Kluyveromyces lactis: one gene and its partners. The protein of the gene in region 2 purifies or fractionates together with the protein of the main gene of each other region. This does not show direct contact. Links are inferred from orthologs where the notes say so. Each region holds a gene or a part of one and is shown on either strand. Other genes may lie near its edges.

Region 1 (9,267 bases), on a different chromosome or scaffold from region 2:
TTTTAAGGGGACGATTGCTATTACGAATTGTATCATTGTATGTACTGTGTTGCAGAGAAATAGTCTCAATTTGGGAACAATGTCGTAATGAAAACAGGGGAAAACTCGGCTGGTTACCCTGATATACAGTTTGTACGTTGTTTTCTGTGAACCTTCTTTGATGGTTCTTAGCAGGAAGAAAATACTCACGACGTTTTTGCTAATTATTTCATTGCAATCCCGTGCGGAGCTAAAGCATATCACAAAGGAGACATAGAGAGTTTTGCGATGGGTTAATTCAGGAATTTAATTGGACTCTCAAGTCATTAGACGGTGCTGTCCATATACCAGGGTAATCGTCAGAGATTATGGGGATTTTAGGCTCTCCTATTTATCCTCGCTTTCTCTTTTCATGTTCTTGTACGGCCGGTACAGACAAAAATGATAGAGGTACAGAATTAAGCATAATTTCCCTTTTTGGTATTATTACTTGCTTTGCAATAAACAAACAAAAATATAAGTCACGTGATTGAACTTATTCCCCAATCAGGAATAATGTAAACATCATCGAACAGCACTATCACAGTGATTGTATTCAGTTGTAGAGATGGATGGTTCTGGCTCTCTCACCAAACTTTGTTCGGTGTATGTTAACAATTCACAAGGATTGAAGTTAGATGTACGGTATCTGTTTTGTCATTCAACAATCTACAATTGAAGGGAAGTTGAGGGCATAACAAAGAGTAGGTATTAGCAAGGAAAGCTATCGATTGAATGACTCAAATATACAACTATCAAGAAAGTTTCTGGGACGAAGACGATCAAGGTGTTACCGTTCTTCTTCAGCATGTTGGAAGAGGTATATGCACCTGTGAGTTATTGCTCGATTGTTTCACTAAGAGAAGTGAGTTGGAGATGGATTATGCAAGAAGATTAGGAGCACTCAGTGCAAGAATAATGAACAATCTCGAACGATATGCGGACTACAATAATATGTCTGAATCCTTAAAATATTTCCAATCCTCCCAGCAGACAATAGCCAATGGTCATTCTAAGGCATATGAGAGGCTCAACAGGGAAAATGTCGGTACGATGAGTGATTTCTTAAAGCAATATAGAGCCAGATGGTCAACGATAACGGGAAACGTGGAAAACTTAAGGAAGTTGAAAGATGAAAAGAAGAAAGCCTTGAAATCTATAGATCAAGAATTACTCAGTGCTGAGAATAAACTGAGAGAGTATCAGCTCAACAAAGAAACTGCCTTGGGCGAATACCAAAGGAAAGAAAATGCGAGAGAATTGGAAAAATGGTCTTCGATAGTGGAAGAATCACACCGTAGGAAAACCGTCTTACATCATGAATGTAAAGCTGCTAGAGCACATTGGTTTGAGGAATGGAGACATATTAGTGGAGAATTGCAAAGTTTAGAAACACAAAGAATCCAGGTCTCTAGGGAATTACTACAACAATACGCTGATTTTACAACCCAGCCTTCGGAACTGGAACTCTCTTTGATGGAACAATTAAAACAAAAACTTTCCAGCTTCACACCTGAACTTGAAATATCGCACTTTTCTTACCACCATGGTACTGGAAGAATCAAGTTGAAAAACTCTAACTCAGTTTCAACGCACAACTCAAGTGCTAACTCTAACCCATCTAATGTGATCCGTCCGAAGAGTTCTCACAAGGCGTTGGATTTAACAAAGAATGATAGGTATGTTCAAAATATAAAAAGACTATCAACCCAGCTGAAGAACACCAGGCTCAATTCAATAAATGCATTAAGTGTCGATAAAGGGTTGCCAACTCCAAAAACTGATGCTGCCCTTGTTAATTCCATAGAATCGAAGGTCCTAAATGATAACTCTGCTCCGCATTCCGTTGAAAACTATTTAGAAGTGGTTACAAAGCCAGGACATGGAGCAACATTATCAGAATCTTCAGAAGAGACTTCTTCAAATCCAACGGACTTTACTCATAGGAAAAATAAGGCAAGTTATGATTCCATGTCGACTTCTCTCTCATCCATGGCCTCAAGTGTCGATGACTCTCAAAGGTTTGCTAAATCTTGGAATTCACGCAATAGAAGAAAATCTAGACCTTCATCAATGTATTCGCCCACAATGGATACGGATACTTCTGACAACGACAATAACAACTCTCTGAAGCCACCAACTGCAAATCGTAGAAAATCCATCGCATCGGATGTCGAAACAGCATTAGAAATCTTGGAAATGAATGATCGTCCGATGACATCAAGAACGAGCTCTGGTGCTTCTAGCAACTTAACTGTGAGCAGAACAGTGTTGCCTTTCAGCAACTCTTTGAATATAATGCGTTGTAAACGTGTGACTATTGATGGTGAACAATTGAATCTACCCATCGTTGATTCCATGAAAAATCCAGTCGTAAAATATGTCAAAGCGATGTATTCGTACACTGAACCCAATGAAAATAACATACTACTTTTCAATTCTGGTGATATCCTGCTGTTAGTCGAATGCATAAATGATGACTGGTATGTGGGTGAGGTATATCAAGGTAACAAACAGCATGGTCTGGTACCAATGAATTACGTGAAAGTAATAAATTGATGTACATCACTTTCACCTTGGACGCTTTCCTTTCTGACCATTTTCACCCGTTAAATAATGAATTTGTAACCATATGTAACCAATATAAAGTTCTATACTTATATATAATTTCTGCTCTTCCAATAGACATCAAACTATTAGCAAATTGAAGCTGAGCAGATAAATCTGTACTTTAAATGATAGGAAGGATTGCTTCAAATAAATTGACCTCGTATCCTTCTAGCTAGTTGCATGTCCTTTCTCATAATTGTAATTCTTTTAGCATGAAGTGCCAATAGATTTGTATGCTCTAATAAACCGACTAAGTAGGCTTCACTTGCTTCTTGAAGAGCCATAATTGCCATGGATTGCCATCGAAGAGGTTCGCTCTCGGTAGTGAATTGATCTGTTACCTCTTTCACTAGCCTCGCAAAGGGCATTCTGGATATAAGCAAATCTGTGGATCTTTGATATTTCCTTATTTCTGCCAAAGCTAGGTCAGTAGGTTTATATCTAGTTCCCCGAGCCTTTGTTATTCTTTCATGTGCGCTGATATGATGCTCTGGAGGGTGAATCTGCTGGCTGCTAGCAGAACGCTCGGGCTGGATGTATCTTGCTTTGTCTTCACTTCTATTTAACAACAAACGTCTTCTTCTGTTTCTCTGTAATAATTGTAGTGCTCTCTGATTGATCGATTCACGATCTATAAGTGAAGCGCCAACATTGCTCAAAGATCTAGAACCGTCTATGCTCCTGATAGACTGTTCCATTATGTATCAATCTCTTTTCCGTATGGTCTTTTGCGTGTCATAGAACTAATTTCAATGTTTCGCGTGTCATATTCATCATTGAGTAGGCTAATGTTAGCTAGATAACTGTTTTCATTATTTGAAAAATTCAAAAAGTAATAGAAGATAAACAAGTTTATACTTTGAATTAGCTACTTGGATAGGAAAAGTCTCGTCATTGACCTAGCAACTGTAACTCGTATTGTTACGATAAATCGAGCACTTTGTTGTATTGTTAGAAACCATTTAGCAAAAATGGCACCATTAAGACAAGACAGTTACTTCGTATGTGCGGTATCCAGATTGTTCATTATTCCGAAAACATTAGTTATTTAAACTACTAAGATAACTTTACTAACCGATCCACTCACATTACTACATGTGGTACTTTTGTCCAGATAATATATCCAGGATCCAATAGGACTTTGGTTCAATTTGGTATTGGAGAAGATACTTTGCAGCCGCCTTCGATTTCTATTCCAACAAAAGTTTACAGAGATGCAAATGGTAACTTTACATCCTCTGTTACTGATGTTGTTATCTGTCCCATTGTGAAGGGAAGCATTGTCGATATTGATGCGTTCCAATATTTTCTAAAGTTGATCTATAAATCTGTGTTAAAACAGGAGAGTGACGATAGTCCAATCGCTTGGGATACAGCTCTTTCTAATATTCCATTTTTGTTAATTTCGCATTACTCTTGGACTCAATTCCAACAAGAACTACTTTGCAGAACAGCTTTTGAAGCAATGAAATTGAAGCATTTTGTTATATTACCTAGCTCGTTAGCTAATTCATTTGCCTATGGCTCTTTGCAAAATTGTTTGATCATCGATATTGGCAAGTTTCACACCGATGTTGTACCAATTATGGACTATACACCCTTAACCTGCTTCATAAGACAGATTACTTCCGGTGGAAACTCGATAAATAAGAATCTACAGAGAGCTTTACCAAATCTCACCGAGTCCCAAATTGAGGATTTAAAAAGGTCGGATATATACGAAATTTTGTCCCAAGATATCATGGATCAATACGCTATCGACAACGAAGATGACGAAGAAGGTACTTTAGATGTGGCTACAATTGTTACTAGTGGGCGTGATACTCGAGAAATTCTAGAAGAGCGCGAACGAAACAAAAACAAAGAAAAACTGGACAACAGCAAATTAGAGACAAATGACTTCTTTGATACTGATGGTAATCGTATTACTGTAAGCAGGCAGAGATTCACAGGCTATGAAGATCTGTTGAAGGATGTCTCGAAAGCTGTAGGACAAGCAATGAGCCAGATTGATGACATAACCAAGCTTAAAGCAATGTGGGAAAATGTCATTATTGTTGGAGGGACATCACATATAAAAGGGTTCAGGGAAGCTCTTCTATCACAGCTGCTAAAAGACCATATAGTTAGTGAACCAGAAGAGGAACTGTATAAAAGAGAGGTGGATGCTGCGGCTAAATTAGATTCTAAACAGAAGAAAATTGGGAAGGTTTCCACTGCTCCAATCTTAAATCAGATTGAATATGTGCAGCCACCAACTACCATCATGACACCAAAGTTCCCTGAATATTTCTCGGAATGGAAGAAGATTGGTTTCGCTGATATTACCTTCTTAGGCGCCCAGATCTTAACAAAGCAAGTGTTTGGGCATTCTAACAATTCATTCTATGTCACAAGGGAGAAGTATGACGAACTAGGCCCAGAGGCCATCTGGGAGGTTTCTTTCTAAATAATTCTAGTACTTTTTCAATATATAAACGTATACAGATATCCATTGTAATTTCAATCAGCAAATGCAGTTCAGAGTACCGTACATTTAGAAAGTGCCCATCAAACTTCTCTAGAGCATTGAGCTATGACTCTTACTAGAATTTTGATCATTTGTTTGTTCTAAAGATTTGCTCGCTCCGGGAAAGCATTCTAGATCCACTTGATATTGGTCTTGTACCCAGCTTCCCGTTATTGTTTTGTTTTTGTCTCTGTGAGGTAAAACTGGACCTTCTTTTAGTGAGGAAAGGAGTTTTTGTAGTTTTATACCCATTAAGTTGTGTTTCGGCTTCCTGCTCAGCTAGTAATGCCGCTTTGTTAGCAATGGGATTGATTGATGTTTCATTATTAGTGAATCTTTCATTTTTGCTTTTAATCGCTGAAGTTAGGGAATGCAACCATACCAGGGTATCTGATTCGTCCGTTTGAAATACAAATGTTTTGAATGGCGTCTGTACAACGAAGATATCTTTCGAACTTGTCTTCTTCTCTGGTACAACCTCCTTTATGCGAACACCTAACTGTGACAAATCTATCTCATATTCTAGATCATAGAAAAGGTTTGAATTTTGATTAATTTTGTTTTTTCTAGCAAATAAAAGGCACCTTCCGAATGTCGTTATTACACACATTCTTTTAATATATTCTGATTGTGCGATAAATTCTGCAGGTGCATCAGGTGCCTTTGAAAAGAAATGTTTCAATTTTGACATACCCTCATGCGAAGCCTCATCTGCGCCAGATTGCTTACGATAGCTCGCTTCAACATTTTCAGGATCAATCAGATACTCACTATAAAAGTCATGCTCAACCAAGTTTGAGTTCTCTTGACGAAAGCCAGTTACATTTCCGCCTCCTCTAACAACTTGAGTCAGTAGAGTATTTTTTTTCTGCACCCTTCCGTCTGCATCTAAGAGGGAGAGCTTTGACTTGCTAATCTTCGCTTCAAGACTTTGGTTTTTGAGCGTGGTAACATTGATCTCCCCCATCTTTATCACACGTTCTTGTATATTTTTTAAGTAGTACGACCACATTATATCTAATTTACTCATTGGAGATAAATCGGACGATATTTTTCTGATATTAGAAGACGATGAAGGAGGAGCAGACTTGGATGATGATGAATTTGTACTTGCACTGCGGTTGGAGCCACTAGGTTTCCTTTGACTTCTTCCAGAACCCGCAGAAGAAGTTGAAGATTTTGCTGTCGTTTCATTTAATGGTTGCTTAATTTGCTGAAGAGCTGCTGCTGCTGCTGTTGCAGGATTAGGAGTGATATCACCTTGGCTTGGAGAGCCGGAGTATTGTTGTGATGGTTTAAGGGCAGCCCGTCTGTGGTTCCGCTGAGAAATTTCTTTTTTAACATTATTCAAAATCCGCTGTGTTCTAGGGTCTAACTCACGTTTTGTTGTGGTGGATGTCGTGTCACCATTTGGCCTTTGTGCTGTTGTCGTGTTTTTAGGGGTTATCTTCGGTGATACTGAGCTTTGTCGAACAGGTTCATGAATTGGATTAATAGCCGGAGACGAGGCCACCTTCGGTACCGAGGATTGCAAAGCACGGGCGGAAACCTTGTATGGACCAAGTTCTGGGGGGTCTTTATCCCAAACTGAGCCGTTACCGAAGTTTACATCGGCGAAAAACTGGTGAGCTTTAATTTGATTGATCAGCAATCTTCTTTCTGGGTTTTTAATTAGAATATTTTTCACCAAATCTCTCACAGTCATTGGGAAGCCAGCGGTAAAAGCAAATTGAACTTTCATTACCTTCTGGAATGTCAAATATTCATTGTTCGCCTTAAATGGCGGTTTCCCGGCTATCATTTGGAAAAGAATGCAACCAAATGCCCAAATGTCACACCTAAAATCAACGTAGTTATCATTCAACAATTCTGGTGATACATATTCTGCTGTGCCAACAAAGGAGTTAGATCTTGTCAACAGATCGTACTTAAGGTCATCCTCCGAAGTACTATCTAGAAGCCTTGCAGTACCAAAATCAGTTAACTTGACTTTCATATCAACGTCTAACAAGATATTTTCTGGTTTCAAGTCTCTATGTATAACTCCCTTGTCATGCATGAAACCTAATGCATCGATTATTTGTGCTGCATAGTACTGTGTACATTTTTCATTGACTGAACCATGCTTTCTCATAAGAGATAATAAATCGCCATTTGGTGCATATTCCAACAAAAAGTATAGAGAGGATTCATCCTGGAAGGTAAAATATAAAGAGATGATTCCTTTGGTATTCTTCAACCTCTGCAAGGTATTCTTTTCAATATTAACGTATTTTACCTTTTTCTGTTTGATGAGGTATTCTTTATTCAAAATTTTGACCGCATATTTTTTATTACTTTCAATTGAAGTTGCAAGCAGCACTGTTGAATAAGATCCATCACCTAACGTTTCTCCAAATTTGAAATCATTAATCCCCTTTTTGATGACTTGCTTTGTGATTTTCCCTGTTTGCTTATCCGGAACATCCTTCACTATCATTGCAGCACCACGATCTGCCCATTCCTTCTGCCTACGCTGCATTGATTCGCTAATGGGTAATTCCTTAGGTATTGAAATGTTATCATCTCGCGTGGAATCAATTGTTTCGACTGAAGACAGAGAGTCGTTTCTTCTGTTCAAATACTTCGGATCCAAAGAGATAAAATTGTCAACGTCTGTTAATGCTTTAGTTAAAACAGGAGGATTCGGCTTCCCAAATGGCTTCATTTCTGAGAGGTTAGATAAATCATCTGTCGTTCTGATAGTGGGTAGAGGAGGATGTGATAGTTCCATCGGAATTGGAGGTGGCGTTGGTCTATGCATAACAGATCTGGCAGATCCTGACGTAGGTATAATGGGTTTGTTAAAAGAATCTTCAGAAGACATATTGATGAAACTCTTAGAATGGTATTTTTATCAGTACAAATGCAAAGCAACAAATTTCGATATTGAACAAAGAAATATTTGATACCAAAACGCTGTTAGTTGATATTCGCTTAAGGGTATGTTTACAATGCAAAAAAAGGAGATGCTTCAACCATCAAACCTTAAAATATGAAGAACTTCAATTGCTAAAAGAAGACAAGCCAGACAAAAAAAAGGACGATTCAAAAATCAGGGGATTTTAATATTCCTAGCAACTCAATACCTTATTCACTAATGGGTATATCTATCACAATTGCTTCTAGACTTGATTGTCGTTCTTTCTTTCCTCTCTTCTTCTCCACGTATTTTCTCTTGCTTTGAATGTTAATGTTAAGTAAATTCCAAATGTTCATATTTATTAAAGTAACATCTAGTGGTCACGTGATATATATTTGCGTCTCAATACGGACGTATATCCGTAAACTCTCGTCATGTGTGGAGCTTCAACTGTCATGTGAAGCACAAGTGGATGTTTGTTTTCGCTTCTTGTCGTCTAGATGCAGAGAATGTCGACACCTAGCGCTAGGATCGTCGAGCAAGTTACTTTCCGAACACAAAGTAATTAACGATGATGTTATTGTTCGTCATATGTGTCATTGAATATACTTGCATGTCAAGCATTTATAAATGACATTATCTCTGGGATCCATCGAGCATAACATAAGAAATATACTATTATAAATAATTACAAGACAGAAATCTTTTGTTATTCTTGCCAGTTCCAATTGAATATCATCATATACAGTCTCCAAATACTCATAAAAAAATGGCACACGCAACCTCTTACAATGTCTTCATGTTGCCAGATTTAGAGGCATACGTCCATGGGATCAAATTCAAGAGCAAATTGAAGAAATGGAGCAAATCACAGGGGTTCAAAGACCTTTCACCTGATAACTTAAAGGAATGGTGCACGGATAGTTTTGTACTCGATTCCTTGTTAAAGGTGAACAGGTATAAATCCAGTCCTATAAATTCACCAATTTCACCATTGACTCCGGATATCTCATCAATGGCGTGGAAGGTCCCTCCTTGTAGAGGTAATCTCTTGGATGACTACAAGCAGTCATCTACTTACAAATACAGAGATTTTAAGAAATATTATCACAATAGTGACGATTCTCTGAATGACAATTTTAATCATCGGAGGACCAAATTCAAAAGATTTTGGCACAAGATAAAGGGACATAAAAACGAGACTTTTGCAAATAGTTATAAAAGCAGT
Region 2 (10,737 bases):
CCAAGAGTTATTCATTCATTCTGTTCTTAATGTATAGAATGACGGAACTTCAGCACATTATGTCTTTATATACGCTTTCAAGTCTCAAACCATATGCCATCTTAAGTCTTAACGTCAGCATTTCATGCTTATATCGCAAGCAAGTTACAGTGCATTTCTCCTCACGAACACTCCTTGTTTAACCCTCTCCGTTGTATCGCGCACTGAGTTTCTGTACCGAAAGTTCTTTCTGTCAACCGCTTTCTTTTCAATCATTATTGATCATCCCAGAATTATAGCATGGTAACTCAAGAAATTGTCGGAGTTTGTGGACTTCGAATCCCAAATAGGAATTACCCCTCTGGTTTTTGAATCAAGTCCGTTTCGTATCTTCCGATCTTTTACAAGTGCCGAACTCTACTACTGCTCGAAAGAAATTTATAGCGACGGGATGAGCTTCAATAACAATAGCCGTATGATTACAAAGCAGCATCAGAATAACCCGCTAAACTGCAAACGAGCCTTTACAACAGGCTGTGATCACGGTTCAAATCCTGAGAATTGGGCTACAACGTTGTTACTGAGGTGACCAACAAATTTTGCCTATTTCCTTGCCAGCCTTACTTTGCTGAGGTGATTGGCTGTTCCAGAAAAGCCAACATACCAGCCGGTTTGGGAAATTGAGAGGGTAGGAAAATTAAAAAAAAAAGGTAAGAACCGGAACCGATGACGATTAGGGATAATTCTGTGTCCCCTTCCAGTTCCCGTTCTGCCCATTTTTCTTTCAAGAGCGGGGCGCTGAAAATAGTCCCACGCAAATTCGGAAGAATTATAGGACAGACGGGAAGTTTTACGACACAGTACAAAGGGTGCAAAGCAAACAGGGATTATCAGCAATGAAGTTAATATTTTTTTTTACGGGGAACAACGAAAGTCACGTGAGCTGAGAATCATTCGCAACTAAAAGAACACATATATATGTATGGACAAACAAAAAAGTGTGTGGGATTATGCGGGTTGACTTTCTGTCATTATAGCCGATTCAAACCTCGTACGGTAGTAATCACTTTTTGATGGCTTATTTTCGAGGTCGCAGCCGCACAACATCAGAATGAAGCCCGTTTCCATTTGATAGCAAATCGGCGGTGTGTTCGCTTTTCTTCCTCAGTACTCTATATCCTTTGTAAGTCACGTGATTACTTCAAATTGTGTCCTGCTCCCAGTCGGGCAAAATAGCAAAGGGGGGCTAAAAAAAGAAAGCAATCATCTTTGCTCACTATAATCGATGATTTTGCTAAGATGATAACATGTTCCTTAAAAGAAAACAAATATTAAATGCATCGCACTTTATGATTAATTTCCAAAAAACGCTGTCTAGTTAAAAGTTACTCAGATACACGCATCCCACATAGTCTGAAATGAGCACAAACGTTATTAAAGTCCATTGGCTAAACCAATCGAGGGCCTTCAGGGTTCTATGGTTGTTAGATCATTTGAAACTCGACTATGAAATCGTTCCCTACAAAAGAAATGAACAATTTAGAGCACCAGAGGAATTAAAGAAGATCCATCCATTGGGTAGAGCACCAATTTTGGAGATAGATTATAAGAGTTCTGACAGAAAGGATATCCTTGCGGAATCGGGTTATATTTTCCAGTATATTTTAGAAAATTTCGACAAGGAAGGAATTCTTAACAATGCAGATCAACAGAAGGCCGAAAAGATCAAATATTATCTACACTACGCTGAAGGTTCGCTTCAACCACCTTTATTCATTGAATTCCTCCTTTCAAAGGCTAAAGAGGCTCCTGTGCCATTCCCCTTCTCTTACATTACCAAGAAATTCGCCGACAAAATCAGTGAAAAGTATTCTCGGGGAGAGGTGAAAAACCAGCTAGATTTCATTGAGACCGAAATTGAGCAAAATGACGGATACTTGGTCGGAGGTAAACTCAGTGCTGCTGACATTTTATTATCGTTCCCCTTGGAAATGGCTTTCGAGAGGCAATTCGCCAGAACCGAAGAGTATCCAAATATAGCAAAGTGGTTGGAGACTATCAAAAGGGAAGAGTCTTACTCAACTTCAAAAGACAAAGCCAAAGCGAATGGCGCCTCATTCTAAAAATGGTTCCTTACATACAAGCGATGGTGCACGTTCTGATCTCAAGTTATCTGCTGATTCGAACTTTTGTCCTGAAAGACAATTGAGAGCGCACAACAAGTTTTCTCTACTATATAACTCCGTATTGCCATAGCATCATTTAATGTTTTCTATCTGACAATGGATAAAGTGGTTTAACAAGCGCCATCCTTGGATAATGATAAAAAATCGAAAAATACGAGGTTTCAGGTTATATTTGGAACCTACAAATGCGGTAACTAGTGTTACTGTACTAAGCTCTTTCAGGCAAGAGAGAGTTCTACTGAAAGAACTGGCGCATGAAAGCAAGAGTCTCAACAGATGCGTTCAAAACCCCACTTCCCTATGATTGCAAACCATATGTATATATATATATATACATCTTCAGACATAGCTAGTATCATAAACGAACTGGATTTTATGCACAGAAATTCCAATATGTATCCTCAGAACGAGATTATATTGAGGTGAAACTCAAAGTATTTATGGTCTCAACTAGGAAACTGCATCGATAAGGTTTGACTCTACAAAACGTAGTATAATCGGCGTAAGGTCGTAAATGTAAAGGCTAATGGCATCATATTGCAATAGTTTTCACATATGATAAAAAACCAATTATATTGTGCATTACTTATATAGCTATATCTGCATTGAATAGTAAACAATATCACAGCTCTTCCATTTTATTATTACCTCTGCTAAAATTCACTGCATCTTGTCTAGACACCTCCGTGACGGTGGAGACTTTATTTTCAAACTTCACTCTGAAGAATGTGTCTGCAACATTGATCATATCTGTCCTGAATGTCGTACAAATAAATTGAGCTGTGTCAGAGAGGTTTTTGATGGTTCTTGCCACAGCTATCCGATATTGCTTGTCCAAAGCGGCATCAATTTCATCAAACAGATAGAAAGGAGCAGGGTCAACCATTTGGATTGCAAGTATTAAGGCAATAGCACAAACAGTTTTTTGACCGCCAGATAATTGTTCCACACGCAACTGTTCATCTTTCTTCGAGTTGAAGGACACTTGAATTGAAACTCCTGTATATTTGCTCTCATTCAATGCCTCTGCTGAGTTTTGTTCCTGCCTGGCCCCTCTTCTACGTTTTTTAGTTGATACTTCCGAGTTATCTGTGTTTTTACGATGATTGATAATTAACTTGCCAATTCCTCTGGGGACCAAAGTCGCAAAGACACGACTGAAGTTGTCAGCGACTTTATTGAAGGTTTTTTCTATAGCAGTGATCTTCTGTTCCTTCAATTGGTCAATCAAATTTTCAATAGACTGCTTTGATTCATCTAGTTCTTCAGCTCTTGAAGTGAGCTCGCCTCTCTTATCTTCAAACCTGGTGTAATTTTCAGATGCTCGCTTGTTTACATTAGTCATTTTTGATAAATGCCCGGTAGTAGTGTTCAATTTCTTGAGAATTTCATCACTAGCAAGTGGTTTATATTTTTTTAAGGATTCTTCTGCTAATAGCCCTACCTCCCTAATCAATTGTTGCAATTCCTCCTTTCTTGAGTTCAGAGTTGACTTTTTCAATAAAACTTTTTCTGCATTCTTCTGAAAGTTCGTAATCCTTTTGACTAGTGATCGTTGTTGTGAGTTGGCTTTATCTAAATCCTTTTGAAGGGTTGCTTTCTCTCCTCTAAGGGATTTGATACTGCTGTCTAGTACTGATAATTCAGATTCTACTTGTTCTTTTGTCCTTGTCACAGTTTGTTTCTCCATCAGAACAAGTTCCATTTGGTTGTTGATCTGACTGATTTGTAAACTGTGTGAAGAAGAGGGCTTTCGCTCCAGCTCATGTAACTTAGGAAGTAGCTTTGAATTTAATTCAGCGTTGAGCTCGTCTAACTTAGAAGAAAGTTCATTCAAAGTTGACAAATTGAAATTCAAAGACGTTTCTTTCGTTTGAATGCTATTGGATATAGCAAGTAACTCGGCTTTTTCATCTGCATCTAGTTCATTAACAAATGGTTTAGATATATCCGCAGCAAAGGCATTTGTACGTTCTCTACATTGTTCAAGCTCCGTATCGATTTTGTTTAGTCTCGCCTTCAAAGCTTTTATAGAGTCATCAATCGTAATTTTCTGAGACAGCTTTGCTTTCAACTGACTCCTAGCCTTTTCTATGCCTGCTTCATACGCATCTCTCTCTGCTGCAGCATCCTTAACAACATTGTTTAGGCCATCAATTTCCTGTTCGATACTCTGGAGCGCCTGTTTAATCTCTTGAAGCTCTACTTGAATTTTTTTATATTCTCTTTTCGATTGTTTGAAGTCTCGTAAAGTATCCAGTCTATTACTCTTGTACTGATCCAAGTAACCACCAGATAAAACACCTTTACTGTCTGCACGATCACCGTCTAAAGTTATAGCATTTAGTTTGTATTCTTTGGCAAGGGAAGCACCATCAATCAAGGATTTAACGACAAGAGTTCGGCCAAAAACCTGCTTGATCACTTTCTCAAATTTCACGTCATACTTGATCTTTTTGATTAGAGGTGTACATTGATTTTTCTCCAAGTTATTTGGATACGTAAAGTTGGTATCCACATGCAACTTATTGAGAGGAATAAATGTTACCCTTCCACCTTTCGTTGCAAACAATTCCTTAATTAATAAACTTGCGGTCTCTTCATTGTCAACAACAACATTGAAAAGGGAGTTGCCTCCCACGACTTCTGCACATATTTTGTATTTATCGCTTACCTTTATCAACTCGCCTACAGGGCCAAAAACATGCTCATGTAAATTTAACCTATTAACAATGTCATTGACATTTTGTAGACCAAGTGCTAAAGAACGATCAATTGTTTCATTCATATCTGACTCAAACCTTTTGACATCATTATCGAGAGAGGTGGAAATTGTTTGTAGTCTTTGTTCAGTTCTCCATAGCTGTTTTCTTTGATCGATTTTCGTCAAATATTCCTTCTTGGCTTGTGTTACTTTATTTTGCAAGTCTTCCTGCTGAGCAACAGATCCCATTCCATTTACTGAATCGGCTAGGTCTTCAATTTCAGCATTTAAATTCTCTAAATCATGCTGTAGTGTACTAAGTTGGCTAGTCAGTTGATCTTTTAATATATTAGATTTATTCAGCGACTGGTTTAATAAGTTAATTTGTTCTTGGATCCAGTCATTTCTTTCGTTTACCGTACGAAAATCTTCATACTTCCCTTTTTTTGATAATAATTCTCTTTGCCTCTTTGTGAGTTTCTCGATTTCTACTTTTAAGATTTCTGCTTCATTTGATAGTTTTTGGAATTTTGGTTGTACCTCGGCAATTGACGAGCAGTTAATCTCAATTTGTTTCTTTACTTCTCCGATTTCTTTGACATTTGATTCCAAATGCGCTTGTGAAGCATCCAATTGCATTTGAATATCGTTTAACCTAGTGTCTAAATCCGCCAATTCCCCAGCAACTTCTAGCTTCGATGCCTTTAACTGTGGTAGATCAGTAGACTGTTTTATTTTAATCTCACTTTCTAAAGAATTCATTCTCTTGTTGAGCTCTACTGCAAGCACTTCTCTTTTTTCCAATTCGTTAACATACTCAGAAGAATTTTCAATAATTGAATTGTACTCACCTTCAAGTTGTTCAATTTGGTTCGTAATATCGTTCAATTCCCTATCGTATAAGCAAAACTGTAAAACTTTTCGATCTCTATTTAGATTGTTGTACTTTTCCAATTCTTCCTTTTCATCGGACAATTCGCTCAACCGTTTGTCAAGTTCGTTTAATTCATTAGTGATTTTCGTTCTATCTCTCTCTGCTGCCTCCATCTTTTTCAAAGACTCTTTCAGTTTGTTTTCGAATGATTTTGCACCTACAACGTCCTCTAATAGATGCAGCCGTTCTAAATCTTTCGCGTTGGTCAAGGATATTATTCGCCCTTGCGGAACAATGTTGTAAGGATTCGAAGTTGAAAATCCTACATTTTCTAAAACTCTTCTAACGTCTTGTCTTGTTGAGTTCTTGTCATTAATCATGTATTCATCCTTCTTCAATCCCACTGTCCTTCTAATTCTGACCTCTCCAGTATCGTTTCTTAACGGTGCAAGCATTAAGTTCTCAGGATCATCAAAGATAATTTCAACGAATGCACTCATTACTTGCCCTGCACCTTGGTAGATAAAACCCTTCCTATCTTCACGTTTTAAGTTTGAATTCTCTTCGCTTAAGACGAACCTAATAGCTGCAAAGAAGTTCGACTTACCAGAACCGTTGGAACCGACAACAACATTGTGATGGGGTGAAAAATTCTCCACCACGGTCCGATTCTTGTAAGTCTTGAAGCCACTGATTATAACAGTTTTGATGTGAACCATTTCAACAGTGTTGTAGTCTGTCTTCTTGCCCTTGTAATTACTCTTATTCCTAGAGCTTTCTGATACAGGACGCGTAAACTTAACTTGTTTTGTATAATTTTGTATGTGTTTATGATATTCATTTTTTTTTATTAAAGAAGGACGCGTTTCATAGACAGTGTATAACATAAACAAATTTCAACTCGTTACCCTAACATGCTAACTTAAATGCAACGGTAAGCTTCCTTCTTCGAAATGTTCAAAGTATTTAAATGGATCCAATGTACGCTCGTCTTTACTAAGGCTTGATACGAAGTTAGCTGCTTTCCGATGTAAGTGTTTAAATGGATCATAAACTATGATCGGGTAACTACCAATGTAATAGGCGGTTAAGTATCAAGATGATACATAACGGGTGTTTCGGAATGAAATATCATTAACTAATCTGAATTATTATATAAGGAGGCATTAGATCTGGACAAGGACCATCAATACAGTCATGCCAGATCCCCAGGTGCATCAACATACACTACTGGATATATAGCTAATAAACGCTATGGATTCATCAGATACCAAAGATCTTAATTTAACAGCACGTGACTGGAAATACCAGCCACATCAACAATAAGGTATATTGAGAATCTGCTCCAACACTGAACAGGCATTGGACACTGTAGTCTAGTGGTTTAGGATACTCCCCTTCCATAACAATGATCTTCAGGATCATAGGCGAGGGAGTGACACGGGTTCGAATCCCGTCAGTGTCAATTTTTTCTTTTTTTCTTAAACGCATTTATTATTGAATAATTAATGACGCAAAGGGGCGAATTGGATAAAAGAATTTCGTTCTGAATTCAGCGTTTATTCAGACTTAATACATACAAACGATAGATATTTATTTGCATCAATTGTTTAGAACAAATTTCTGAATAAAATAGTTGTGGAATCTGGCATCATTATCGGACAATTCTGGATGGAAAGACGTTCCTAGAATGCGTCCTTGTTGACTGACTGCCACTATTGATCCATCTTTTAAAGTGTACAATGTCTCTACATCATCCTGAGATAATATCTCTTCTATAATTGGGGCTCTAATGAAGTAGACTTGGAAACCTGTGCAATCAGGAATAAATGAAGAAAAGTCACATGTTTCGATGAACGATTCAGCCTGACGACCAAACGCATTTCTTCTCACCTTTACCTTTAACAGGTCGAGCGAATTTACCAAGCTCGACTCATTGCTGAGTTGTTTAGCTAAAAAAATCAATCCAGCACAGGTCCCCCACACCGTTTTAGTGGGGTCGTGAACGAATTCAATCAAGGAATCAAAAAGTCCTGTTCTTTTCGCAATTAGCGAGATTGTCGTAGATTCACCACCAGGTATAATTAAAGAATCACAGGAGGAAAGCTGTGGAGCAGTCTTAACTGTTATTACTTCTATATCATGTTTATTATCTTCAATGGCTTTATTCAAAAGGGCAATGTGTTCTGCAAACGCTCCTTGTAGAGCTAATACGCCAATACGCTTTGTCATCATCGTCACAGTGTCATAAAGAACCATGAAAAGGCAAAAAACGGTGTAAATTGAAATTCAAATGGAAATCGAATAAAGAAAAAAATAGGCTTGACGGATTATCAAGAATTTATAGATAAAAAAGACCAGATCATATATGTATGCTACGGGCTAGACACTTCTATAATTTATACCAAGCACGCAAATAATAATCGAATGGCCTTTTTAATTTCAACCGGCATGATTACCGATATGGAATGGCGAGCAATCTATTACTTTCCTCCTTAATGGTATGTATCTGTGAAACGAATATTCTAAGTCGAGATAGATTATGTAAAAGAACATCAATGGGTTATATCATGTACAAGGTCTTTACAAGGCGTAGCAGTATGCAATTAATATGATGCCGTTAAGAGTACGATATTTGACTTGAACGCTGCCCAGAATTGCCATTCGATGAGAGATCCAAGCACCCTGAATGATTTTCTGTTCGCATGGATGATTCATCCCTCTAAAGTAAGTATCTCGCATCTGACTTGAATGAGTCAAACTGTAAAGGGCCTTCCTTTTATGATCAATTTTTGTTACTTTTTACCGAAAGGTACCGAGAAAAAAGGTCTAAAAGGCATTCAAAACTGCGCAGTTCGTGAGTGAATATCTGCACGAAATCCGAACTGCCCCACAGTGATGGTGGGCAATGGCATTCACATGCCTTATTGGGTGGTAATCCTTAGCATGGCAGAAATAAAAACTGTAACAAAACTCCAAACCCGAGGTGTAGACTTGAGAATCCTTCCAATGTTAAACAGGGAAATCTTCAGCACTTGTGTCTATCTATGGCGAGCTCCGCCGTTATTTGGATGTATATAAGTATAGCCTTGTGCAAGAAATGTACTTCACTATAAGGAAGCTTTCAGTTTTTGTTTAGGTTATTGTCGTTCTTTTCTTGACGGAAGCTGTTGGCAGTATCATTACAGCGACAAAGACGTATTAAGGAATATTAAGATATGGCAGATTTCAAAGTTAAAAGTGGATTGGCTCAAATGTTGAAGGGAGGGGTGATAATGGATGTTGTCACTGCTGAACAAGCCATAATTGCTGAGAAGGCAGGTGCCTGTGCAGTTATGGCCTTGGAGCAAATTCCTGCTGATATGCGTAAATCAGGAAAAGTGTGTCGTATGTCAGATCCAAAAATGATAAAAGAGATCATGAACAGCGTCAGTATCCCAGTTATGGCAAAGGTTAGAATTGGCCATTTCGTAGAAGCACAAATCCTTCAAGCTTTAGAAATTGATTACATTGACGAAAGTGAGGTTTTGACTCCTGCTGACTGGAAAGGACATATCAAGAAGAACGATTTCAATGTACCATTTGTTTGCGGTGCAAAAGATCTCGGTGAAGCACTTAGAAGAATAGAAGAAGGTGCAGCAATGATCCGTACCAAGGGTGAAGCTGGTACTGGTGATGTTTCTGAAGCAGTTAAGCATATCAAAAAGATTAAATCTGAAATTAAGGAATATCAAGATACTCTCGGTGATGACACAGATTTCATTAAGCAACGCGCTGAATCTATTGGTGTTTCTTATGAGTTACTAAAGTATGTTTTGGATAACGGGAAGTTACCAGTTGTGAACTTTGCTGCCGGTGGTGTTGCCACTCCTGCCGATGCCGCTTTATTAATGCAATTGGGTTGTGAAGGTGTATTTGTCGGGTCAGGTATCTTCAAATCTTCTGACCCAGAAAAGCTAGCTCGTGCAATTGTGGAAGCTACTACCCATTACGATGATGCAGAAACTTTGTTGAAAGTGTCAACTGATTTGGGTGACCTAATGGGTGGATTGTCAATAGAATCCTTGAAGAACTCCGAAAACCCTAAAAGGTTGGCAAACATCGGCTGGTAGTTACGAAACAGTATACAGCGATAGGTATTTTTACATATTCAAGTAAAGACGAACAAAAGTTTATATTGATTTTATAATGCTGCTTTGTTAACAACTTATCAAACAAGAGAGTATCAGCTTTACAATTTAGGAGTCACAACCTGATTAACGAGAGAAGCTGTATACCATTTTTCAGGCAAATACTTAATAACGATAACGAATTGCGTAAAATACAAAGGAATAGTCGAATTAAGATGAACCAGGACTTTCAGGAGTATATGACTCTTACATAGCCCATGTTTAATTCAAAGTACTGCCTCCATGAACTAATCAGTTTTTTTTTTTTGTTGAGATAATGTACCGACATCTACGAATTTCCCACCAAAAATAGAAAGTCAGTGCACGGCAAATTCAAGTTCAAGAAAATATTATTTTATGAATATAGAAAAGGATGCTTTGATCACATGAATAAAGGGATACTTCATATGATCTACACAATGCAAGAAAACTTTGCTACCTAACATCTCTTATATGTTTCGATTCCTAATTCTGTTCTGGGCAAAATAAGAGTCAATAGAAGACATTGTTGTTTGCTCGCATACCGAGAAATCTTTGATAAAAGCAGATCTTACTTTATATCCGATCTATGTCGCGACTGTACACACCGGAGTATTCGGATGAACTTCTGTCATTCGTGCAAGAAGTGTATAGCCAAGATGTGAAACATTACTATGCAAAACTTAAGTTGGAAAAGCTTATAGAACTTTTGGAACAAGCTGAGTCTTTATTTGAGTCATATCGTGAATCCTTATCCGTTGAGAAATATGAAGATTGCTTGTGCGAATATGTGATTGGATCCTTCTATGTCTTTCTAATCATTCCCGGATCTGTACAGTTTAGTGC
Region 3 (10,848 bases), on a different chromosome or scaffold from region 2:
AGATGTTCGTATAAATATTGTGACATGAGGTAATTGCCGCTGAACTTATACATATATATTTATTGACGGTATAAAAATTTTCCTAGTCTTGTGAAGAATAGTAGACCAAGGAAGTAGAAATCAATGAAATATAACAACTGTGCGCTATCGGTAATGTCTTGATAGCAGGTCACGCAAGTGACTAAACCAATAGCCAAACCAGATGCTAGCATAGTAAATGAGCTGTCAAAGAACAACCAAAGGATAATGTTGAGTAAGAACCATGCACCACTTGCTTGTAAACTGGAAGACCATTCAATTCTACGAATCCCAAAAGAAACACCTAACATGGCATTTGTAGATCTTAAAACACTAGAAATAGTGGTTGGTTGCCGATCAAAGGTTCCAAGTATCCAGTTTACAAATGGAACGATACTTCCGAAAAGTATACCTTCGATGGCGTAAAATGTCCAAGGTGGTAAATACCCAAAACTTAATGATTGTGCAATAGTGGCACCCAATAATAACGGGCGGGAAGTAAAGTCATTATGCAATTCATGATTATCATGTAAGTTCTTTGATAATTCATGATAAGCGATGCCTGCTATCGATAGTACAACCCATGCTAAAGCCACATTGACAGAACTAGGGATTTTCTTAGCACGTTGTACTATTCCATTTTCTAATTCTTTACCACTTGATGCTTTTTTAACTTCTTCATAGATCTCTGAGTCCTCGCTCTTGAGCACATCAGCATCATATAGTCCATACAATGCAGGCTTCGTCAACAAGTTGGACGACTCTGAGCTTCCGTACTTTGATCCCGTGCTATTCGACGCGCTTTCTGTCATGTTTTTGATGAACGACAATAATTTAGTTTATTACCAATAAATATATTGTTTCACAGGTCAATTAAATCACTGTGGAACTGTACGTAAGCTTGAGTTGTATTGGTGGATCCTAAAATCGATTGGAAATCTCAGGGTGTGTGGACACTTTAGAATAAATTAGAAAGGAATGTGGTTTGTACGATATGTATTTTTAAAAAATTTAGTTGAAATAGTGGACTATCGATTTTTGTTTTAAGAATCGTATTTAAACATTTCAAAAGAACCTCCATTTGGAGACACATCAAACGAAGAGACCAAAGGAAAAATTGGATTTTAGTATTGGATACTACTGCGGATGATAACAGTAGAATATCCTATGGATATGAACTAACTAAAAAAGTTGCGCTATTGAAAATTAATGACAGCCTATATACGGACAACGCACAGATGGTTCCTCCGATACAAAAGAATCCGCATGTAGGAAGCATTGCAGTATTGCAAACAAAACCAGGAAAAAACGATGCATTAAACATATTGAAAAGGGTCGCTCATAACGTATCGTATCTGATGAAAGAGGAAAGGTTCAAAGTAAGACAATTAGTTGAGTTTTATCCACGGAATCGATCACTTTTAGGTATGAACGTGAACAAAGGCATGAAGATCATGTTGCGGCTTAGAGACCCATTAGACGAATATAAATTTCTACCGATAGAATCTATTATGGGTACCATGCTTCATGAGCTTACCCATAATTTACATGGTCCTCATGACCGAAAGTTTTACGAAAAGCTGGATCAATTATCGGGAAGACAATGGACCATTGAACAAATGGGACTTTACGACAGCTTTCTCGGCACCGGGAAAAGATTGGGTAGCAAACCGATGGGGTCGATTATTATTGGAAAGACATTAGAAAGAGGTAAAGGAAGAAGACTAGGTGGTACGACACCTGGAACAGGACCAAGAAGGAATGCTAGAGAAATGGCAGCAATCGCGGCAGATAAAAGGGCAGCGGATAACAAAACATGCTGCAACTCAAATGATCAGAAAAACTATATGCCTGTTCAAGAAGATCTAGTAATAGAACTTCTTGATGATGATTCAAACGAAGAGAATCATAATATTGAAGTCACCAAGTTAGAAACCGCTGGGGGTATAGAAATTATGGATTTGACGTGAACTGCAACATCTGAGATCATAAAGAGATGAAATTAGATAACCAAGGAATGTTGGTTTACATATTCATTATCTTATTACTTCCCTACTTGGAAACCTTGACAAAGAAAAGATTACAACAGTAATTTTATTTAGTTATAAAGTATTTGAATGTCAACAGTAATGAAGCCACCGCTGCCCAACCAAATAGAAAACAAATTACATGAGGCCGTCGGGAAACTAAACAAAAGATGTATGGAAGTGCCACATAAATCTTTTTTAGATTTGAATTCACTTAAGGTTAGAAACGAAAACATGATTAAGATTGGTGTCAACCGTAAAAAGATCATTGATCTAAAGAATAACAAATGGCAATCGGTTAAAGAACATGGAATATCAATACGATCATAGGAGTCAACAGTCACCCTAAAATTGAACGCAAGCAGATAATAATAGACACAATTTTGATTGAGGCAGCCATTAAGGAAACTGATCCCCTCAACTTATCATTTTGTCTACCATTAGTTCCATCGTCATTGTCTGGATTCAATAATTTTTCAATGATCCAAAGAATTATTTGTAAGATAATTGTTTTCCAATCAATTTCGGTACTTGTCAAGTCCTGATTGGAAAGTAAGTCAAGGATTAATATCATGAAATGAATTCCGTTACTGAATAAGGACGAACCGTGTTGTGTTGTTGCGACAAAAAAAGACGTGGTACTAATATATTGTTTCACAACTTCATCTTGGAATCCATGGTATCCTAAAAATGAGACCAAAGAGAAGGCACCAATAATCAGCTCTACTATCTGTTGTATAATTTGTACTATAGTCGCAAAGGCAGGTGAGTTTAAGAAAGCAATTATTCCTTGAATGATTTCGCCTATCATTCCAAGATCTCTGGTATCAACAACATTTGTAACATTTTCCAATTCATGATCCAAGGCATAATCGCCTTTCTGCACTTGTTCGTTCTCGACCCTAAGTTTATTCTCTGACATTAATTGTAGTTGTAGTTATAGTTATGGTTAAAGTGATAAATAGTGTGGAGCTTTTGCAAATTACTATCTACTTAACTTAGAGAAACTCTTAATTAAACCAATGACACAATAATGCAAAGCCAGCTTAAGCATGTAAACGGAACCAAGATAGCCTATTTTGTACCTGAGAAAATTTTAGTTTGAGAGCCGTGAAACAGAATACTTTCATTAACTTTTGAGTATATTGAAGAGCTGCTGAAGAAATTACTGCATTCGAGCCAGACACAAAGGCAAGACAATCATCGGTTTTTTTTTATTTTTTTTTGACACATGTCAGAAGCTCTCACATGTCAGAAGCTCTCATAAACAGTACTAATGTTTTTTTTACTTGATAAGAAACACCTTGGATCGAGTTATACGGCGTCGAACGACTGATACATTTCTGTATTACTTAAAAATCACATCATGAGGTTCAATATGAGTGATCTACAAAAAGAGTGTTATTCTTTTTGTAATTTCGCATTTTGAATTTCCTTTTTTTTCCTACATATCATGAACCACTACCGCACAGATTTACCGCACTGCAAGTTAGGAAGGCAATGAGATAGAAACGATGAAGAAGCAACATATATATATATATATATATATATATATATATATATATACTTATAACCACTCACAATCAAAAAATTGATTGTGTGTGGTAACTCATCTTGACCTACACGTACAGAAAATCGGTTTTCGTAAGAAATTGACCTCAATAACCTACGAATTTTGTCTCTTTCATTTCCGGCATACTATTTCGTTGTCATTGACAACGGTGTCACATTCTTTCTGTTTCATTTAATCATTACGCTTTCAGTGCCACCGCTAGTGAAAAAATCAAAACATCAAAAATCGAATCAGAATTCAGGCCTCATTATATAAAAGGGATGCATGTTTACTTTAGAGGAAACAGTTTATTTTAGGATCTGACCGGTACAGGAACTGGTATTTTCACCCTGCGCTTGCCATTAAATTCTTTGCTTTATTCCCGATAGATAGTATCAGATCAGTTGCTACTAAAAGCTTTAGAGATCGAAAGTCGTCAGTACTGTTTTCACGTTTTAGGGGGAAAAGTATAAGCCAATAATTGAACCTCATTATTTCTGGGATAATATTATCACATTTGTACAAAGGCCTCAGAAAATATAATAAAGCTCACGAAGCAGTTTACTGTATCCATTCATCAACGGTATAAAGCAGTTATCATTACTTTGTCAGCCAAAGAACTGTACAGTATTTAGGACTTATATCTGCTACTGATTTTCTTTCAAGGGTTGCTCGCTGTCATATATATTTTTGATCCTGAAAAAATTAGACGCTTGTCCCTGAAAGACAAATAAAAAAATACTAAACTACTCAAAGAAATATTTACGATAAGAGGGTCTACAAGGACTTTGCTCATTCGGTTTCCAGAGCCACCGTATCCATCAAAACTTTACCATTGAAAATAATGTCCGAAAATTGTCAAGAGCTTTGTCTTAGAATTGATCCCGCTTCATGTGGATTTACTAAAGATGATCATGTTATTATCACCGGGGATTTCGATAATTGGAATCCTGGTCAGTACACCTTGAATTATGATTCAAGCACAGGCTACTTTATTGCCCATTTGCCGTACGATGGCTATAGTGAAACGTTCGTCTGTAAGTTCGTTGTCAACAACGAACATTGGAAAGCTTTGAGCTGTTTCGATAAATATATAGATGATATGGGTCACGAAAACAATTTAATCCATTGCAAGGCTTGGTTGGAGACTGAAGAAATGGTTGCTGATATTGTAATGGAAGATGTGGAATTGGATTTAAAACCTTTTAGATCTTCTATGTCACCTTCAGATCTTCAGATCGATCAGTTAGCAATCACTAGGCCAAGTAGCGAACAAGATTACATACACGTAACTTCAAGAGGTGAATTAAGCTCATCTGAGGACGTGGAATTAGATCCGAGAGTAACACAAGGTACAATTGATGATATTTTGGTAGATGATATTGACGAACAACAATCTCAACAAACTCTACTACAGGCAAGCTACTCTGATCAAAATGCCAAATATCCATCTTCATATAATCCGATACACGGACTCGTCGCAACTTTAAGACGTGCAACCACTTACTGGAAACGTTGATGGTTAATTTTATGCTATTTCTTCTTTACCTATTCTCCTTCTAATTGATTTTTCTTCCTTTCACGCTAATATACACTGCTTTTTGCTCAACTTCTTCTATCCAGTAAAAATCTTCTGAACACATATTCATCAAACTACAATAATTACTATTTAAACCTCGTGCTATTTCTCTTCTTTAATTTATTTAGCCTCTAACTTCTTTTTTTTCTCAGGATGTAATACAGTCTGTCGGTTTAAATCGATTACGACGATTGCTTCAAAACACACTCTCTTCCCATGCTTTGGTAGCCTCAAATGAAAGCATACAAAAGTCATCTCATTTGAATGAAAATTGCTCTTAGATAAAGTTCATGGATGTCTTCGTAAAACAGGTCATTTAACTTTAGATAGAGAAATTGATATAGGTCTGTGATTTAACAATGTAACACTGTTGTTTCACTTCTTAACACAGCTGCCGTTATTAGGCCAAAATATAATACTTACATTTTACATGGATTCGAGTAAAAAAACGCGTCGCGTAAATCTAAAAAACTATATGTATGAAAGTAAAAAAAAAGAGGCGACGAACAACAAATCAAGGAAAAAAACAGCTCTCACTCATAGTACATTAACAACAACAGTCACTTACTAGAACCATTCAGCCTCGTTCCACTGTCTACCTATGCCAGTGAGAAGGTCAACCAGGATAAGGACCAAATCCTCTTATAGTGAACAATCTGGATCAGAATCGGACTCTGAGCACGAAACTATAGGATCCATTGTCACCGACGATCGAATAAATATCGAAAACACGGATAATCAGAAAGAAGAAGAAGCTTTATCACAAGGTTCTAGTAGTTCAGAAGAAGACGATGACGCCAATGATGACGACTATGTTGCCCCTGGCTCCAGAAAAAGACCAAATTCCGGAGGTAGGCGCGTTGCAAGCAACAAGAGAACGAAATTAAAACAAAACGAGAAAGGCCGACCATCTAATAATATATCCAGTGCTGTTTCAAGAAAAGAACAGGAAGCATACATATCATTGCAGAATGAATTCAAACCCACAGAGCTTTTTGAAATTCTAAGCAGCTCCGACGATTTTTCTTGCGAAGAACTTGCCAGTGACTGGTTGGATTCCTATATAGATAACCGAAATGTCAGCTTAGCGAATCTCATAAATTTCTTATTAGATTGTTCTGGATGTTTCACTCATATTGGTGAACACGATGTAGCTAATAATGACTCTTCGAATGAAACAATAGGGGAAATACAAATTATGTTCCATGAGCAAAAAAAACATGAGTTCCATTTATTACTATCGGCAACACACAAGAAGGCAAAGTTCCGTCCTTTGAATGATAATTTTAACATTTTCATGACCACATTAATGGACCTAGCCATTGAGAAAGAGATGATATATGTTGAGAATGAAAAAGAAGAAAGTGACGAGATTGTGATCGAAACAAATCCATTAATTATTGACTTACTTACATGGATACCTTCCATGTCAGTATCAAAAATACGATGTTTGCGATATGTTTCAGCTAAAGCCATCTTCTGTTTCCAAGATTCTCTCGCACGAGCTTCTGCCAGCTTAGAAGCAGAGGTGTTATTTAAACTGAGGAAACAGTTGACACTGGAGAGAAAAAAGAAAAAGCCCAAGTCCAAAACTATGGAGACGCTAGAATCTTCTATTTCTGATGCTGAAGCTACGAAAACTGTGATAGAAAACACTATTGATAACATAATAAAGCTCTGTTTTGTTCATCGTTTCAAAGATGTAGATGAAAATATCAGATCCCTTGCGATATCCTACTTGTTAGATTGGATTGAAAACAATCCAGACTACTTTTTTAAGGTAACCTTCCTCAAATACTTCGGTTGGTTGCTATCTGATAGCAGTAATTCAGTCCGGTTACAAGTTATAAGGTCCCTTCATGACCTAATTAAGTTCTCCAATAAGAGAAACAAAAATACTGTCGATAACGCTGCCCTAAGACAATTTTTCGAAAGATTCAAAGATCGAATGTTAGAAATAGCTGGCAGAGACATCGATATTCAAGTAAGATTAACCTCAGTTCAAGTACTTTCGTCGATTAATGGGTTGGGTTATCTGGATGACCATGAAATAATAGACATCATTAGCTTGATCTTTTTTGATCATGAAGTAAAAGTATCTTCTTCGTCAAGGGACGTTAAATTCTTGAACGAGGTTACCAAATTCTTGGCAAACATTGTTTCTGAAAAAACGGAAGAGTTTCTAATAAACAATGAAAGGTTTAAGGTTCCGGTAATTTCGGTAACGGAAGAGCAGTTTGTTAAGGTGGGTGTGTTAATGAGATTATTACACAATTCATTGTTAAATCATATCAACTCCACTAGTAATTTAGAAGGTTATGCAAAAGTACCACCGGACAAAATCAAACTCTTACAGCAAGCGGCGGAATTTTTATCCCCCAAGTTTTACAACTTAATTGAAACTATATCAAAACTACTCTATGAAGAGGGAAATTTCGATGGCAGCACAATTCATGCTGATGCAGATGATTTTTCCAATGATCTGGGTGATATCAAATTGTTCCTACCAGAAACTGATAACAATGTCCTATTTTATGCCACTGTGTTGGGCGGCTTATGCACAGGCGGCATACAGTACAACAAAGGCCAGGACAGACAAGCCGTGACACAGTTAATTCTTCCAGAGTTAGAAGATCTTTTCAAGAAAATGAATCTTGATTCTGATCAGATATATACTCAACTACTAAATGTAATACAGCTATTAAACACAGAAGAATGGAATTCCAGTGAATCAAAGGATGTCATTTTTAATATCAATAAAACAATAACAAAACGATTTGAAAGCTCTCCAGTGGTTTTGAGCAACGCAAATGCCATTACTAAAACCTATAAGAGTTTAATTCCATATTTGGCATCCCTTCAAATACCAGAGGTAACTGGTTATTGGAAGTCATGTCTGATTAACGTGACATTATCATTCAAGAAGTTTATGGAATCATTTGACATAAAATCTGATAATTCAATAACAACATTATATCTGCAATATGTTAACAAACTTGTAATTTTGGGTAAGGAGTTCGCAATTGAAATTTCAGAAACGCTTTTGGATGACATTGTTGAAAAATTCTTGAAGCCGTTGAGTGAATTACTACCAAAGATTGATTCGGATGCCATATCTGTCCTAGATTTTAAGCTTTTCACCTCAATAGTTACTTGGAATTTAGCAACTTGGAGAGATGTTATCAAAAATAATGAAGAACCTATAGCTGTTTCACATACTACGCTGAATCAAATTAGAACGGTATTAGTCGAATTGCTGAATCTTTCTTCAAAGATCGATTCTAACCCTGAAATACAACACGACAAGAAATTCCATGTGCTTCATGTAATACTCTCTCCATTGTTAGATATTATCATTGCATTCAAAATGTTTGAGCTCGATTTGTCAGAAAAGGATTCCGATTGGATAAGGGCGTTAAGGCAAGAATATTCAGTTATCTCTAACGAAGATCTAACTGGTATTTGCCACAAAGTTTTCCTCTACCTTGAGAGTTGTCTTGGAAAATTTTTGGGAATAACTCTAGATCGAGTGGCTGATGAAGATGTAAATTATGGCGCTGTCAACTTAGTCGATGTTGATGGAGATCCAGAGAAGGAGCTTTGTATCTATACCATTAAATTGAAAGGCCTCATCAAACTTGGAATTCTAAACTATAGCGATTTAACTACAAGAATTGGGTTAAACCAAGAGAAATTAGGGCCATTATTTGAGAGTGTAGTAAGCGAAACGGTTTTCGAAGATGAACCGAAAAATAACGCTGAGAGCCATCCTGCAGCCAAATTAAACCAAGAACCAGTACCCCAACAATATGATGAAGTTCTTGAACCAATTGAGGAATTCACTCAGGATGAAACAGTTCATTCGCCTCCGCACCCTGCAGACCCCATTGTTTCATCACCAATCTAATCTTATTGGGGATCCTACGAAATGAAATTCCTGCGAGTGCATTTAAATCAGTTTATTTTTTTTTTTGGTGAATTGTGTTAAACATAATACATAAAACCTATTACATGGCTATCGATAACCTAAGCTCTCCTCAATCATGCGGCTGTGTGTCAGTACTGCATGCTATCTCTCTTTTTTACCTAGATAGTTTCTCTTGTCGGAAACTCTATAACACTCAGAAAAAAAAAAAAACGGAAAGGTTATTCAAGAATACCAAACAAAATATAGGTAGTATAAGGTTCAACTGGACAGATCTAACATAAATAGGCTTTGTTACTTTACTTAAATACTACTATTCACCGTTTTATCTTGGAATCAACAATGTCAATACTTTCCAAATCATTCTACTTTATAGCGTGGATACAGATTATTCATTCTGGTGTGTCCAGCTATGAATTTCATCAGATTGTGAAACATATCATTCTAGAGAACCCAGACGCTAAAACTCCAGGTTTACCAGATGACGTAAAATTGGAGGCACTATGCGGGTTATTATTCTTTATTTTGGGTACATTTATCAGTCAATCCAAGCTTAAGTACCTTAGTATTCGTGGGGAGGAACGAATAATTGAGACAGATGAGTATCTTAAACCTATCGAATTGAACAAGGCGTCCAGTACAGATGTAGTGATAAACAATGATCCTTATGGGGAAATAAACTACCTTCCTTCATTTGTTGACATCCATGCTAAGAGGAAACTGTTCAAAGAATACCTTCATCGCAGTTTGTGAGTTGATAAAGATTGGTAACTTAAACGCATACATATATATAATATGTACTGGGGAATTACATAATATAATGACTTTGCAATAATAACTAACGGGAGTAGATACAGGGCCGATAGCCAATATAGGCACTTCACCAATCACATTAGGACGTCAGTTATCATTGTGATTGTACGTGTAAAAGGGATTTGGAGGATCCTGTGTACTCTGTGTACTATTTTGTTCAATGAATCGAGGATCTGATGATGCAGACTGTTTATATCGCTGAGGTGGCGTCATCTTATGCAATGAGTGTGATAAAATATCATTCCGTGTCGCACTTGGGTTAGAAATGCCTTCTATCTCTGCTAATCTACTCATTTTTGCAGATGATTTCAAAAGATCTTGATGTTGCGTCTGTATCTCGCGTTGGAGCTTGTACTCTTCTAAATGTTCTTGTAGCTCGGAAATATCATCGGAAGTCAAGGATAAAACTGTAGGATCACGCCTTAGCATAATGGTTGGTATTTATGCCGATTCTATGTTATAATTCTACGTTATGCTATATAAATTGACATCTTAAGAAACTTGACTGCTTTTGTGTTATTAAATTCGGTTGATGAAATATGATGCGAAAGGAAAAGCAAAACCTTCACATACTATTACAAATGAACGTATCTAACACAATATGACGCACATGCAACTCTAAGATCTCTTACTCGATACAACATTTTACCAAATCACTTAAAGAAGGAAGGAAGGAAGGAATGAGCATATATGATCACACTTGGACAATGTAGTTGACCATACGGCGAGTCAGAATCTACAAATTTACATAGCCTTGTTGGCGCAATCGGTAGCGCGTGTGACTCTTAATCACAAGGTTGGGGGTTCGAGCCCCCCACAGGGCTTTCCATTTTTGTCTATTTTATGAATGAATCCTAGATTTTTAAACTTCTTTTTTTTTATGTCTGTAATTTACAGACAATTTCAATGCAATTCAAATTTGAAAACTTATACG

The links. The genes of interacting proteins can lie anywhere in the genome.
Region 1: the proteins of SMC3 (region 2) and CSE4 purify together in Saccharomyces cerevisiae (affinity purification with western blotting; 3 studies listed by BioGRID, with this or other methods). This does not show direct contact. The link is inferred for Kluyveromyces lactis from reciprocal best matches to the Saccharomyces cerevisiae genes SMC3 and CSE4.
Region 3: the proteins of SMC3 (region 2) and IRR1 purify together in Saccharomyces cerevisiae (affinity purification with mass spectrometry; 7 studies listed by BioGRID, with this or other methods). This does not show direct contact. The link is inferred for Kluyveromyces lactis from reciprocal best matches to the Saccharomyces cerevisiae genes SMC3 and IRR1.

Annotation. Positions count from the first base shown.
Region 1 is NC_006039.1:1,058,903-1,068,169, reverse strand, and holds CSE4 (centromeric DNA-binding histone H3-like protein CSE4), read right to left. Parts: upstream 3,327-9,267; coding exon 2,772-3,326; downstream 1-2,771. Other genes in the region: formin-binding protein HOF1, read left to right, coding at 754-2,577; ARP9 (Arp9p), read left to right, coding at 3,600-3,629, 3,743-5,077; serine/threonine protein kinase PKH1, read right to left, coding at 5,226-8,003; KLLA0_C12463g (uncharacterized protein), read left to right, coding at 8,809-9,267. UniProt on the Saccharomyces cerevisiae protein: Histone H3-like nucleosomal protein that is specifically found in centromeric nucleosomes. Replaces conventional H3 in the nucleosome core of centromeric chromatin that serves as an assembly site for the inner kinetochore.
Region 2 is NC_006037.1:19,237-29,973, forward strand, and holds SMC3 (cohesin subunit SMC3), read right to left. Parts: upstream 6,463-10,737; coding exon 2,788-6,462; downstream 1-2,787. Other genes in the region: GTT1 (bifunctional glutathione transferase/peroxidase), read left to right, coding at 1,398-2,102; KLLA0_A00352g (pyridoxal 5'-phosphate synthase subunit PdxT), read right to left, coding at 7,346-8,002; KLLA0_A00374g (pyridoxal 5'-phosphate synthase subunit PdxS), read left to right, coding at 8,962-9,855; ubiquitin-specific protease UBP7, read left to right, coding at 10,481-10,737. UniProt on the Saccharomyces cerevisiae protein: Involved in chromosome cohesion during cell cycle and in DNA repair. Central component of cohesin complex. The cohesin complex is required for the cohesion of sister chromatids after DNA replication.
Region 3 is NC_006042.1:2,570,650-2,581,497, reverse strand, and holds IRR1 (cohesin subunit IRR1), read left to right. Parts: upstream 1-5,777; coding exon 5,778-9,083; downstream 9,084-10,848. Other genes in the region: KLLA0_F27885g (uncharacterized protein), read right to left, coding at 60-830; metalloendopeptidase WSS1, read left to right, coding at 1,257-1,988; KLLA0_F27841g (uncharacterized protein), read right to left, coding at 2,386-2,967; ATG45 (Atg45p), read left to right, coding at 4,442-5,116; EMC5 (Emc5p), read left to right, coding at 9,444-9,854; anaphase promoting complex subunit CDC26, read right to left, coding at 10,002-10,343. UniProt on the Saccharomyces cerevisiae protein: Component of cohesin complex, a complex required for the cohesion of sister chromatids after DNA replication. The cohesin complex apparently forms a large proteinaceous ring within which sister chromatids can be trapped.